Linked DNA regions of Mytilus edulis. The main gene of each other region encodes a partner of the protein of the gene in region 3 in a complex. Links are inferred from orthologs where the notes say so. Each region holds a gene or a part of one and is shown on either strand. Other genes may lie near its edges.

Region 1 (3,761 bases), on a different chromosome or scaffold from region 3:
GTTTTTGACGTAACCCTGTGTTTATCTATCTAGCAATGTTCTCGTTAAGGTATGCAAACACGCACGTGTGTTTGATGGATGCTTCATAAAAACACTAGCTGAGTTTTGTTATTATCATAACTTTCCCTAAGCTATCAAAAAGAAAGAAGATGAAAACATGCGGACATTTACTTTCGTTTTAAATCATTGTATGTTATGATAAGTCCCGAGCAATTCGAAAAACTTCTATTTTTAGAACGATAGAATTTTTCCAATTATAAATATTATAAAATAGATTTACGCTACGACTGTGATCAGATAAGGTTAAATAACACAAATGATAGCGAGTAAAAGCGTTAAAAACTCATGGTTTTGGCATATAATTGGGTTTTCCTTTGAATTAATTGGGTTATTGAACCCTGCAATGGGCAATTGCATTGGGTTTTTAATAATTTTTATTGCGTGATCACGCAAATATGCAGCTTATCTGGAGCTCTGAGATACTCTATGTTTTTATACAATTCCTTGTTTTCATATCCGGTGTTTGGTATCTATTGTTATTTTGATCCTTGGAACCATAATTTAAGACAAGCAACTGGTATTTAAAGTTTGTTCTATTATTGTGATGTCACATCCCTGTCCAAGGTTAGAGGAAAAATGAGAGCCTACAAAAATATGGTTAACCCCACCGCTTCTCTATCATTTCTATGTGCTTGTTCTATGTCAAAAACCTGTAGTCATGGTACTTCAGTGGTTGTAGATAGCTCATAGTCTGGCATAGTTGTTTTTCATAAATGGTTCTGTTATAAATTAGGCTGTTAGTTTTCTCATTTGAATTGTTTCCATTTTCATGTTCATGATGTTAGTGCCTTTTTAAAATTTTATAGTCTATACTTTAGTACTTACAAATGTAGTACAGATCAAACTATCATTAAATATAAATATAGAGGTTTGTAATTTTTTTCTTTGAATTAGATTCGTCATAACACAGTCAGGGGTACTACTTATACAAGTGTATTTTATTTACTTGAAGAAGTAAAAAAAAATATACACATATAAGTAAATTTGTAGGATACTTATACAAGTGAATTTTATTTACTTGTATAGGTAAAAAAAAAATTGGCTTAGTTATGTCCCTTAGGCATTCAGAATTTTTTACTTGTATAAGTAAAAAAATCATCCTTTCTTCTTTTCTTGAATTCTTAAGATTTCTTTGCTCTAATAGAATTTTAAATTGTGTACCCTTTACAGATGTCTTTACTAATCATTTAAGTGTAATTTCATGGACAATGAAAGTCCCATTTGTTTGTTATCTTCTTAACACTGCTCATTTACAAGCCCCAAAGGAGCAATTTTTGAAGGCCTTGCGCAAATATACAAGATCTTTGCTCAATCAGTTTCTTTGATGAATTAATGAGATGAAACATTGATCTTTAATGAAAAAAATTGAGCAAACCTGGGAAAAAATTTTAAAGGCATGATTTTACATCTCAAAACTTGAGGATATTTGTTGGATTGTAAGAAAAATTTACTTATACAAGTAAATTTTTCAGAAAATTAAGGGGAGATTATTCAAACATTATTTATTTACTTATATGTGTATATTTTTTTTCACTTCTTTAAGTAAATAAAATACACTTGTACAAGTAGTACCCCTGACTGTAACAAATGGACAAATATGGCCGTATTTACACCTCAAACACTACTCTTGTGTACAGACTTACCTGTGCTGTTTGGAAGTTTTTAATGCCTGGCATCCACTAGATATTTAAGATTTAGACGCATTTTGTGATTCAGAAAAATAAATCATTCCTGGATTTTGATGGGCATTTTTTTCCCTTCCTGCAGAAGGTGTAAAAAAACCACCTGAATTGCATTTGATACTGTCCACTCAATTACACCCTTTAACTCACCTATAGTTGTGTAGATTTCTATTGTCCATGACAATCAATTTAAATAAAAAAAAGAGTTGTTTATACCTGAGAGGGAACATCTCCAAGTTGTAAAATCACTTCGTTTATTTTTATACCTTGTGCAGGAATGAAAAAAAATGCCCATTAAAACACAAAAAAAAGATTTAATCTTTCTGAAATGAAAAATGCATTTAATTTTCATATATCTATATAGTGGATGCCAGGCATTAAAACATTTCCAACTGGACAGGTAAGTCTGTACACAGAGTAGTTTTTGAGGTGTAAATATAATACAGCCATATAATATTTGTTATGATAAACTAAGATTATAGTCATAGTGTGAAAATGCTCATATTTTGAATACTAATAACTGTGATAGTTGTCTCCTTGGCAATCATACTTCAAGTTCATCCCCTATAAATGCTAACAGCAAAGCCAAAGAACAAGAATCATAAATGAAAACCTCAAATGTTTAAGCCTGAAAAAGGATACATTAAACAAAGAGTAATCCATGACACGTCTATGCATATAAAGAGTGCCCATTCACCTCCCCGTGTTATTTTTTGTTGTTTTAGAACACCGCCTCCATAAAAAAATTCCGCCAAAATAAGTTTTACCCCCCCCCCCCCTTTTTTTTCTAAAATCGTCACTATGTTCTATTTAAACCATAACATGTCGGTCGCGTGTAATTGTGTATTGAAGATATTCAAATGATCATACGTACTGTGTTTCCAATGGAAATATCAAAGAAAACAACGGGATTGTTAGTGTTATTTGGTTTTTCTGAATACGACATGTTGTCGGCTTTTTATTATCTCCCTTTACGTACTTTTAAGTTGGGTAAAGCTAAGTTAAATCAGACGGACTTCCGTATAATTGAAATTTACACACGCTTTTTTTTTTTACTTAAACAAATATGAGTAGAAAAAAAGGGAGTGTATAAGAATTGTTCAATTCACATAAAAAATAGTAATATAAGCATATATATAGAAGTATTAAACTTGACTTGTACAACCCAAGGTAGCCTGGTATTATTTTTTTTCTTTTTCAACATTTGGCTGTGTTACTGTACATTCACTATCTTCTTCTCTTCTCTTCTTTTGTTACAGAAAACCATCAACGTACTGATGTTTACTTTCCGGCGCATGCTATAGATTCACTATAAAGTCTACATGTTATCTTTTCTTATTGTAAAATGGTCGTAATGGTAAGATAAATCAGTTTGACACAAAACACCTTATTCAGATTTTCTTTATCTAAACAAAAGCTTATTTTAATACCAGGAACAAAAGTATAATTAGATATAGCCTACTGTTCCCATTACAAACATAGACAAACTAACATAGTATATGTCTTCGCTACTAATGACCGACTATAGCTAACATTCAGGCTAGGTCTGCATGCCCCAAAAGTATTGACAGATAAATTTCAGCTATTTTATTATCAAACTGATGGCGATACATGATCATAGATTCAAATACCATCCATATACCCGTTACGTACGTGGTCTGTGTAACGTGACCGTTTTCTTAAGGCAGAGAGATTTTAAAATTGTATCAATGAAATATTACTATAGTGATTTTGAAACTAGTTAAAACATGGTGGCTTTACTCGTGCCACGGCATTTTAATCTAAACAAAATCATATTGCATTTATAGCCACTCCTAATTTGCAGCCAACATACAGGTTCAAAATCGGTGCACTAAATTACCATAACCATATACTAGTAAACAAATCATGGCTTAACATGCTTAAAGTCAACCTAGATTTGGCCTTGATCTATGCATAATGTAGAAAAAATATTCACTATCACTCCTTGATAACTTGAGTCACGGCTACCACCGAAAACAAATATACAGTAAGAAGTGT
Region 2 (3,761 bases), on a different chromosome or scaffold from region 3:
CTGATTTTACAGAGTTATCTCCCTGTAGTGTTAGGTACCACCTTAAGTATCATTCTTTTAATAACCCCCACTAATTTCAACAACCCCGAACAGTGGAATTTTTATCGCGAACAGTAGAATTTTATTACATAATCTGAAAGATGAAACCTTGAACTTCACAGGAAAAATACTCCCACTGCTGGGAAAAATCTTTTAAGAAAGTATCAGTTCATTATGTAAAGCCATTATTATAGCATTTTTTCAACTAAAATATAATTTGCAGCTAAATGATAGCATCAAAGGCATAAACCTTGATACTTAAAAGAAGCAAAAAATTCATTTTTTTCAATTTAACTAATGAAAAGATATTTTTTAAACCTATGTGTTTCAAATTTTGGTAAAACTACAAAATCACAATTTGTGACAAAACTTCGAATTTGCTACTCAAATAAGTGATTTAAAAATCACTTATTTCAGTAAGTCCCCTGACTGCTTAGGGGGTGAACATGTGAGGTGCTAACATGTAGGGTAAGAAAGTATATTGGGTGCGAACGGACCTGATACCATAAATCCAATGGCCTTTATAGCTACATGTACTACATGTATGATAATGGATTTGCTCCTTTAAAGGTTAGTATTTAGGCTAGTCCAAATAATTATGACGTCTGGCAAGGCTATTTTATTTTTTTTCTGAGACGCCTTGCTACGACGTCATAACGCTGAATCCACTTTTAACATCTGGACTTTGAGAGCAAATTTGGGGGGAAACTTTGCGACCTAGGCTAATTTTGACATGAAATTTTCATTGCCGGCTAGAAATTTGTACATACCGGTAGTTACAAAGTCTTCCTTTTTTGTGCTTATTGCCAATATTGGTGCAAAATATTTCCAGAAATTTTTTATTGATAAAATAAGATACAATTCCATTTGAGGTGGACAAATATTTATTTTGCTTACAACATGATATCTCAGAACTACCAAAATATGTCATTACCAAAGAGTATAAAATATTAAACACTGTAAAATTTGACAGATCTGAATTTCCGGATAATGTAAATCGAACGTTCTGGAAATTCAGGTCTATTAAATATCACTGATTTGAATATTTTATATTCACCGGAATTGACGTTATATGGGAGTTCTGGGATACATCAAACTTTTTCAACAACTTTATTACATTTAGATTGTAATATTATGCTTTGAATAAATCCTAGTTCTTTGTATTTTCTTTTTGTAGATATTAGTATGAACAGTTTGAGATGATTATATAGATAATATAATGAGGCATGATGTAAGGACTTTAATATTCAATTGCAAGGTATACATGTATTTTGAAGGTATCTGGATGATTTGTTCCAACTTTGATTCGTACCAACAAATTCGTCCCAAGTTGCTTGGTCAGTTCGTTCCAACTTATTCAAGAACAGTATTAAACAATATTAACCATTTAAATAGCCTTAATATTTTAATTTTTAATGCTGTACTGATAAAAAATTAATATCAATACGTATCTAAAAATATTCTATGGTTTATTAATTGGGAAGAACGATATATTGGGCATGATATATATTGATAATTATTAATTATTAAGGTAAGTTTTTCATGACAAATTTAATATTTTAAATATGAATAAAGTGACTAACAAGTGATATTTTCAAAGAAATCGTTATCATTATAATTGATTATTGTATTTCAATGATGTGCGCATAACAGTTGTTAATGCATTCATCAAAAGAATAATATCGTACTTATCTTGGGTCATAAACGCTTGTCAATAATAATTGATGGGCTGACATACCACATTTGCTATGTTTTTCTTGCGTGCATCGTTACTACTCATTAGCACTGGTTGTGTATTTTTTACAATATTAAAATTTACTCAGTGTCCTTACATACGAAACTGAAAAAAAGTAAGTAGCCACAAACAGATCACAGTCCAAGATGATGGAGCTTTGGGACAGCTATAGAAGACAGTATATTTGCGTTATGGAATTTCCGACTGCAGATTAACCACATAGAAGTAGAAGTAGAAGACAGCAAATTACAGTTACCCAGTTGCACTTATCATTGTGCCATCCGTTGACCAGCAAAATGAAATATGTGAAAGACTATTGAACGATTATCTATGAACTGTTAGGATGAACATATGTTATTGAAAAACGATCTTTTATATGAAAAATGCAGAAAAAATGGACAAGGAATTGCTGATTTTTGCTGTGCACTGTAGGTTGAATTACACAAATACAGTGATATACGGACATATACATTATAAAAAAGTTGGAACAAATTGTTAAGTCTGATTTAATAATGAACTTAATCAGGTGGAACACATTGTTTAATCTGATAAATAATGAAATAAATCAGTTGGAACGAATTGACAATTGACTTGGTACAAATTGTCCAAATCTGGAACGAACTGGCTTGGAACGAATCGGACTTGGAACGAATTGACAAGCATTCATTTAGAAAGAGAAATAGTTTATGTTCGAACGAGAATAACGAGGTAGAACATATTTTACAATTTTAGTTACCTTCTCTACCTCCACTAAATTTGACTCTGATGGGTTTATCTAAGTATTTAGATAAGTCAAGAATAGTTTCTTTCTTTTTCTTTTCTCTGTCTCTATCTCTATCTGAAAGCTAAAAAGGAAATAAAAAAAATCTTTAATGAGTAAAAAAATATTTTTACCAACACTGACATCAGTGCAACACTGGTTTTTTTTTTTTTTACGAAATTCAGAAACATCGGTATACACTAATTTATGTCTCATTCAGTTTTTGTCGTGTGAATTCGGAATCTTAATAAAACAGTTATTACCTGCTGTTGTGGTTTCTGTGACATTTTCAAAACGTGCAAATTTCGTTGCCGGCAAAAATAAAACCGGAAACGAGAAAGGGAGGTAAACGAAAGAGTTGATAAATCTGAAAACCACATAACAATATGATATAAAAATAGACCGAATGGACATTATCTTCTGAAAATAAGGTCTAGGTCATAGAAACTCTGTCAGACAGATAGTGTACCCATTACAGGGCTTACAATAATTCCAAACACCTAATATATACTGAGCCAAAAATATTTGCAACAAACTTATAAAATTAGATTTTACTGACTATCTTAATACACCTTATCGCTATTCCCGGCTGACCCGTCCGCTTGAACTTTTGACGTCAACAACAATCACTTTTCCATTGTGGCGTCAATCATTTTGTTTTATGACGTCAAAATTTTACGGGAACCTGTGTGATTTCCAGCAATGGCGGACAAATAGCGATAAGGTGTATGCGACAAGCTTGATTATTTTAACATCTAGTTATTTTTAGGATTGTCTGACTAATCTGATTAAAATACAAATCATGTGTTCACAATTCGCTTGTAAGAAAAGCATGCACACAAACTATGTATATTTATCCGATTGGTATGCTCAATGCGTTTTAAAAACAAATGGGAAAGTTCAAATAGTGTGCTCGGGTTACTGTCTGAAATGTTTTTACAAACAACACTGAATGGGTCAGATTCAGTGGACAACTCAAGCACTTGTTACAACAATATACACTAAGTTTGATATAATCGTTGATAATTTAGCTTGCAAAAATCTAATAAAATAAAATTGGAAAATATTTTGTAAGTCATACGAAACCATTTGCGTAAGGACTACCTTCATGAGCTTAACTTGATCAGTAAAACCATTTGAAACTTTTTAACAATTCACATTGGTAACAATCCAATGAAAAATGTCTGGATCCTCTTCTGTAGAGAGGAATGTGCTTAATTTTTCTTC
Region 3 (3,761 bases):
TCACGTTTACAACTGGTAACCAGCCAGTTCCTAATCGAACGCACCCAATAACTGAATAGTCATGCAATCTTGTTTTAAATAGTGGTTTGATAGGCGGAAAGGAAAGTTTACAGAGGTGTAGCAGCGTTAAAAAGTACTTTTTGCTTTCTTCAACCTTTCCTCTAATTAAAATCAACATTAGGTTATATATATATTCTTCTCAGTCTTACATTTTATAATGATCCGCTTTTCAGATCTACATCATGTCAGCAGCTTACAAACACTTCACTTTTTTAACTAATCCTGCTTTCTAATCTGCTACGGGGTTGGTTTTTTTTTAGGGCAAAAGACTGAGGACTTGAGATTACTTCTTTGACACAAAGCAGGAATATATGTGTTGTTAGGCAGCAACCATTTGAAATTCTTGGGGGGGGGGGGGGATATGTTTTTTTTTCTGGACAATTTTTTTTTCTCGCCTCTGGCGAAAAAAACAATCTATTTTTTTCGCGACAAGTCGAAAACAATTTTTTTCTTTCAATTTTAGCATTACATATAGTGGCAGCTGAGGGTGAAACAAACAATTTTTTTTTCTCAGAATCAAAAACAAATTATTTTTTTCTCCAAAAACTGGAAACAAACTTTTTTTTCCAAAAAAAACCATAGCCGCCCCCCCCCCCCTCCCCCCCCCCCCCCCCCCACCCCCCCACCCCCAGAAAATCAAATGGTTGCTGCCTTAGATAAACTGTTCTCAGCACCGGGTATAACAAATGTTGACATGCATGATGCTAATCTTCTACGTTCACTATATTCGGTACAAATAACGACTTTTAACTGAGTAACTATTCACTATTTATACTGGGAACGCGGACCTCAAAGAAAGCACCATAGCAACAACTATACTAAAACGCGAACCTCGAAGAGCGCATGCAAGTAATAACTGTACTGGTAAAGCGTCATACATCAACTCTTTTTATGCTGTTTTTTAACGATTGAAAAATCAAATGGGATGATTCATAAAGATGTCAGAAAATACATATAAGTATAGAAATGTTATAACATTCATAAACTGGATCCGCCTATGCGTTGGCACCGTTACGGGTATGTGAACTCTGATCAGTGTTTATAGAATCATTTTTAAAATGTTGCCATTGATAACATAGAAATCATCACTTTCAAGTTGAACAAAAATAAAAAAGGTTTTGCCTCTTCAATTTACATAATTAAGTTAATAAAATTGTGACGAACTGTTTGATGCAGCTTTAATAAGACAAAAAACCATTGAATCATATTTGATTTAATGTATTATTACTTGTCAATGTATAACGACTAACTATCGTAAACCAAAAAAATAAATCTCTCTGCAAACCAAAAATACATGTCTTATAAAACATGATTTTGTCGTCAATGAAAACCGAAATTGCCTATTATCTATAAATTTTGATTACTGATCATTAAATGCAAATAAAATTAAATTGAAAATGATTTGAATATTGGGATAAACAAGCAAACAATTTAGTACATTTCGTTCTTCTTTTATATTCAGGTTCACAACCATACCATAAATGCGCCGGCAAATTCGTAGAAATTTCGATTCAGAAAATGGTACCAATTTAGCATTTAACTGGCCTATTTGTACATGAATTTATGTTTTAGCTTCTTTATTAAGAACAAGAAATGTTTTGTACTTGTTAAAGTAAACTATTCAATTGAAAACTCACAATTTTAGAGAGAGTTTCCAACGACAACACTGTCGTCCGAAACGGGCATGAAGTATTTGTTACTGGACGTTCAGGAAACCTCAATTAATCAATTCAACATTGTCCAATGTATGCAACACATGGTTGGCAAAGTATTACCCGCCCTGGAAAACCCAGGCGGGAAAAACCAGATTTTCCTGGGCTAGGCAATAGGGTATCAGGTCTGTTCGCGCCCAATACATTTTGGCACCCTACACGTACCAGGGGTGTGGAAATGCTATGCCCGACTCGTACATTTGAACAACCGGACAAGTAATTATTTTTGTCTTGGTTGCCCATGGACAAGTAAAAAAATATACAAAACAAAGTTCAATTCCAACAAAAATATAAAATTGATTTCAAAACGTATAAAAATGTTTAATTTATGTAAAAGAAACCAATGGTCAGCAAGTAAAAACATCAATGTTCATGACGATAAACATTACATAATACCGGAAATAGATTGATTACCAAAATAAATTAAAATAAGTATACGAACCGGAGTCACGTAAAATTGCATTGGCTTTGTCCATTGAGCCGGAATCATCAATTAGGTTTTATCCATCATTTACCGGAAGTGTCATTTCTTTCAATTTTGTATAATATTACAATTCAGATTGATAAACACTTAATAAAAAGCAGGGCAAGTAAGACAAAAAGAGTAATGAGTCGAGTAGAAAACCTTAAACGCAAATGGAGAACACAGAGTATTTAAAATATAAAAAAACAGAGAATTTCAGCCATTGTGGATATCAGTTTGCCGCTGGCTATCTAGGATGGAAATTCGCAAAATAAATTAAGTTTTTGTCTTATTTATTGATGAAAGGTCAATATTATGTGTTGTCGAAGTTTCAAATTAGAAGGGACTCTTTAATTGCTCATCAAGACAATAATAAATAATCTAGAACAAGAGTGTCAGTTTAGAGAAACACCACAACATCAATAGTTTAACTATTATTTACTAGTTTGCATTTCTTCAATTACTGTCCACTCCTCAAATTGAGTATATGTACCAACTGGCTACAATCTTTATTCAAAAACTGCTGCAAAATTGTCCTTTACATGTTGTTCATTGGTTGGTTTGCTGTTAGATTTCTGTCCCATTGATGTTAACCAATTTCTTACTTTCCTAATTTTTTTTTACACATATAGACAAATGGATTTCATTTGTTTGTCAGGCACAACAGTGCTTAGTAAGAATCACATATTAGCTAACAAGAAATACTTCAATATTTATTAGGATCATCAGGGCAAGTAACTTTTTTTCCGGACAGGTAAAATTTATAGTTTTACTTGCCCAGGGACAAGTGCTTACAACAAATATTTCCACACCCCTGCGTACGCACCTGGCATGTTCGCATCAAAGGTCTGTTCGCACCCTACACGTTCGCACCCAATTTAAAATCAAAGTCCAGTTGTCTTGAATAATTAGAATATCATGATTGTTGTTTTAAATTGCTTACATACATACATTTTGTAGTGTGAAATAAAGTATTTAATTGTTTAAATTTGAAATGCTTTGCAATCATATTGCTAAATAAACACCCGACAGGGTCATGTCATTAATACTTATAAAAATGAAAAGGCTGATTATTGTTATGTAAACATATCTGTGTCTAATCTGAATAATTACTTATTAATTAGTGATGTACATATACATGTTATAGATTTTGTAGAGAATTATTGAGAAAGGCTTTTTTCATTAATATTTGCCTAATATCACGAATGTGTCTTCATGTACACCTTTCTCATACATTGTAGTTGCTGAAATAATGCTTTCTCAAATGTATACACTTGTATTATAAGAATCTCAAACAAGTTAACTTATTTATAAACAAAATATGTTTATAAATATTTTAAATGTATTGCATTTGTGTTTAATCACTGCCCAGTGTTACCATGTAAAACCCAGTAAAACCTGGGTTTTCCCAGTATTTCCCACTGGGCTGGGCAATACTCTTTTGCCAACCTTAATGCAACATACGAAAATAATGACATTTTCGGACTCTGCAATATACTTGTCTAAACATAATTTCTTTCATTAGA

What was found.
Region 1: U6 snRNA-associated Sm-like protein LSm4 (region 3) and peptidyl-prolyl cis-trans isomerase H-like share a complex: the UniProt entries of both Homo sapiens proteins name them as parts of the U4/U6-U5 tri-snRNP complex. The link is inferred for Mytilus edulis from reciprocal best matches to the Homo sapiens genes LSM4 and PPIH.
Region 2: U6 snRNA-associated Sm-like protein LSm4 (region 3) and U6 snRNA-associated Sm-like protein LSm7 share a complex: the UniProt entries of both Homo sapiens proteins name them as parts of the precatalytic spliceosome. The link is inferred for Mytilus edulis from reciprocal best matches to the Homo sapiens genes LSM4 and LSM7.

The regions. Positions count from the first base shown.
Region 1 is NC_092356.1:36,867,347-36,871,107, reverse strand, and holds the start of peptidyl-prolyl cis-trans isomerase H-like, read right to left. Parts: upstream 2,729-3,761; 5' UTR 2,689-2,728; coding exon 2,617-2,688; intron 1-2,616. UniProt on the Homo sapiens protein: PPIase that catalyzes the cis-trans isomerization of proline imidic peptide bonds in oligopeptides and may therefore assist protein folding. Participates in pre-mRNA splicing.
Region 2 is NC_092347.1:82,007,486-82,011,246, forward strand, and holds the start of U6 snRNA-associated Sm-like protein LSm7, read right to left. Parts: upstream 2,929-3,761; 5' UTR 2,915-2,928; coding exon 2,798-2,914; intron 2,620-2,797; coding exon 2,511-2,619; intron 1-2,510. UniProt on the Homo sapiens protein: Plays a role in pre-mRNA splicing as component of the U4/U6-U5 tri-snRNP complex that is involved in spliceosome assembly, and as component of the precatalytic spliceosome (spliceosome B complex).
Region 3 is NC_092344.1:91,103,705-91,107,465, forward strand, and holds the start of U6 snRNA-associated Sm-like protein LSm4, read left to right. Parts: upstream 1-1,465; 5' UTR 1,466-1,578; coding exon 1,579-1,581; intron 1,582-3,761. UniProt on the Homo sapiens protein: Plays a role in pre-mRNA splicing as component of the U4/U6-U5 tri-snRNP complex that is involved in spliceosome assembly, and as component of the precatalytic spliceosome (spliceosome B complex).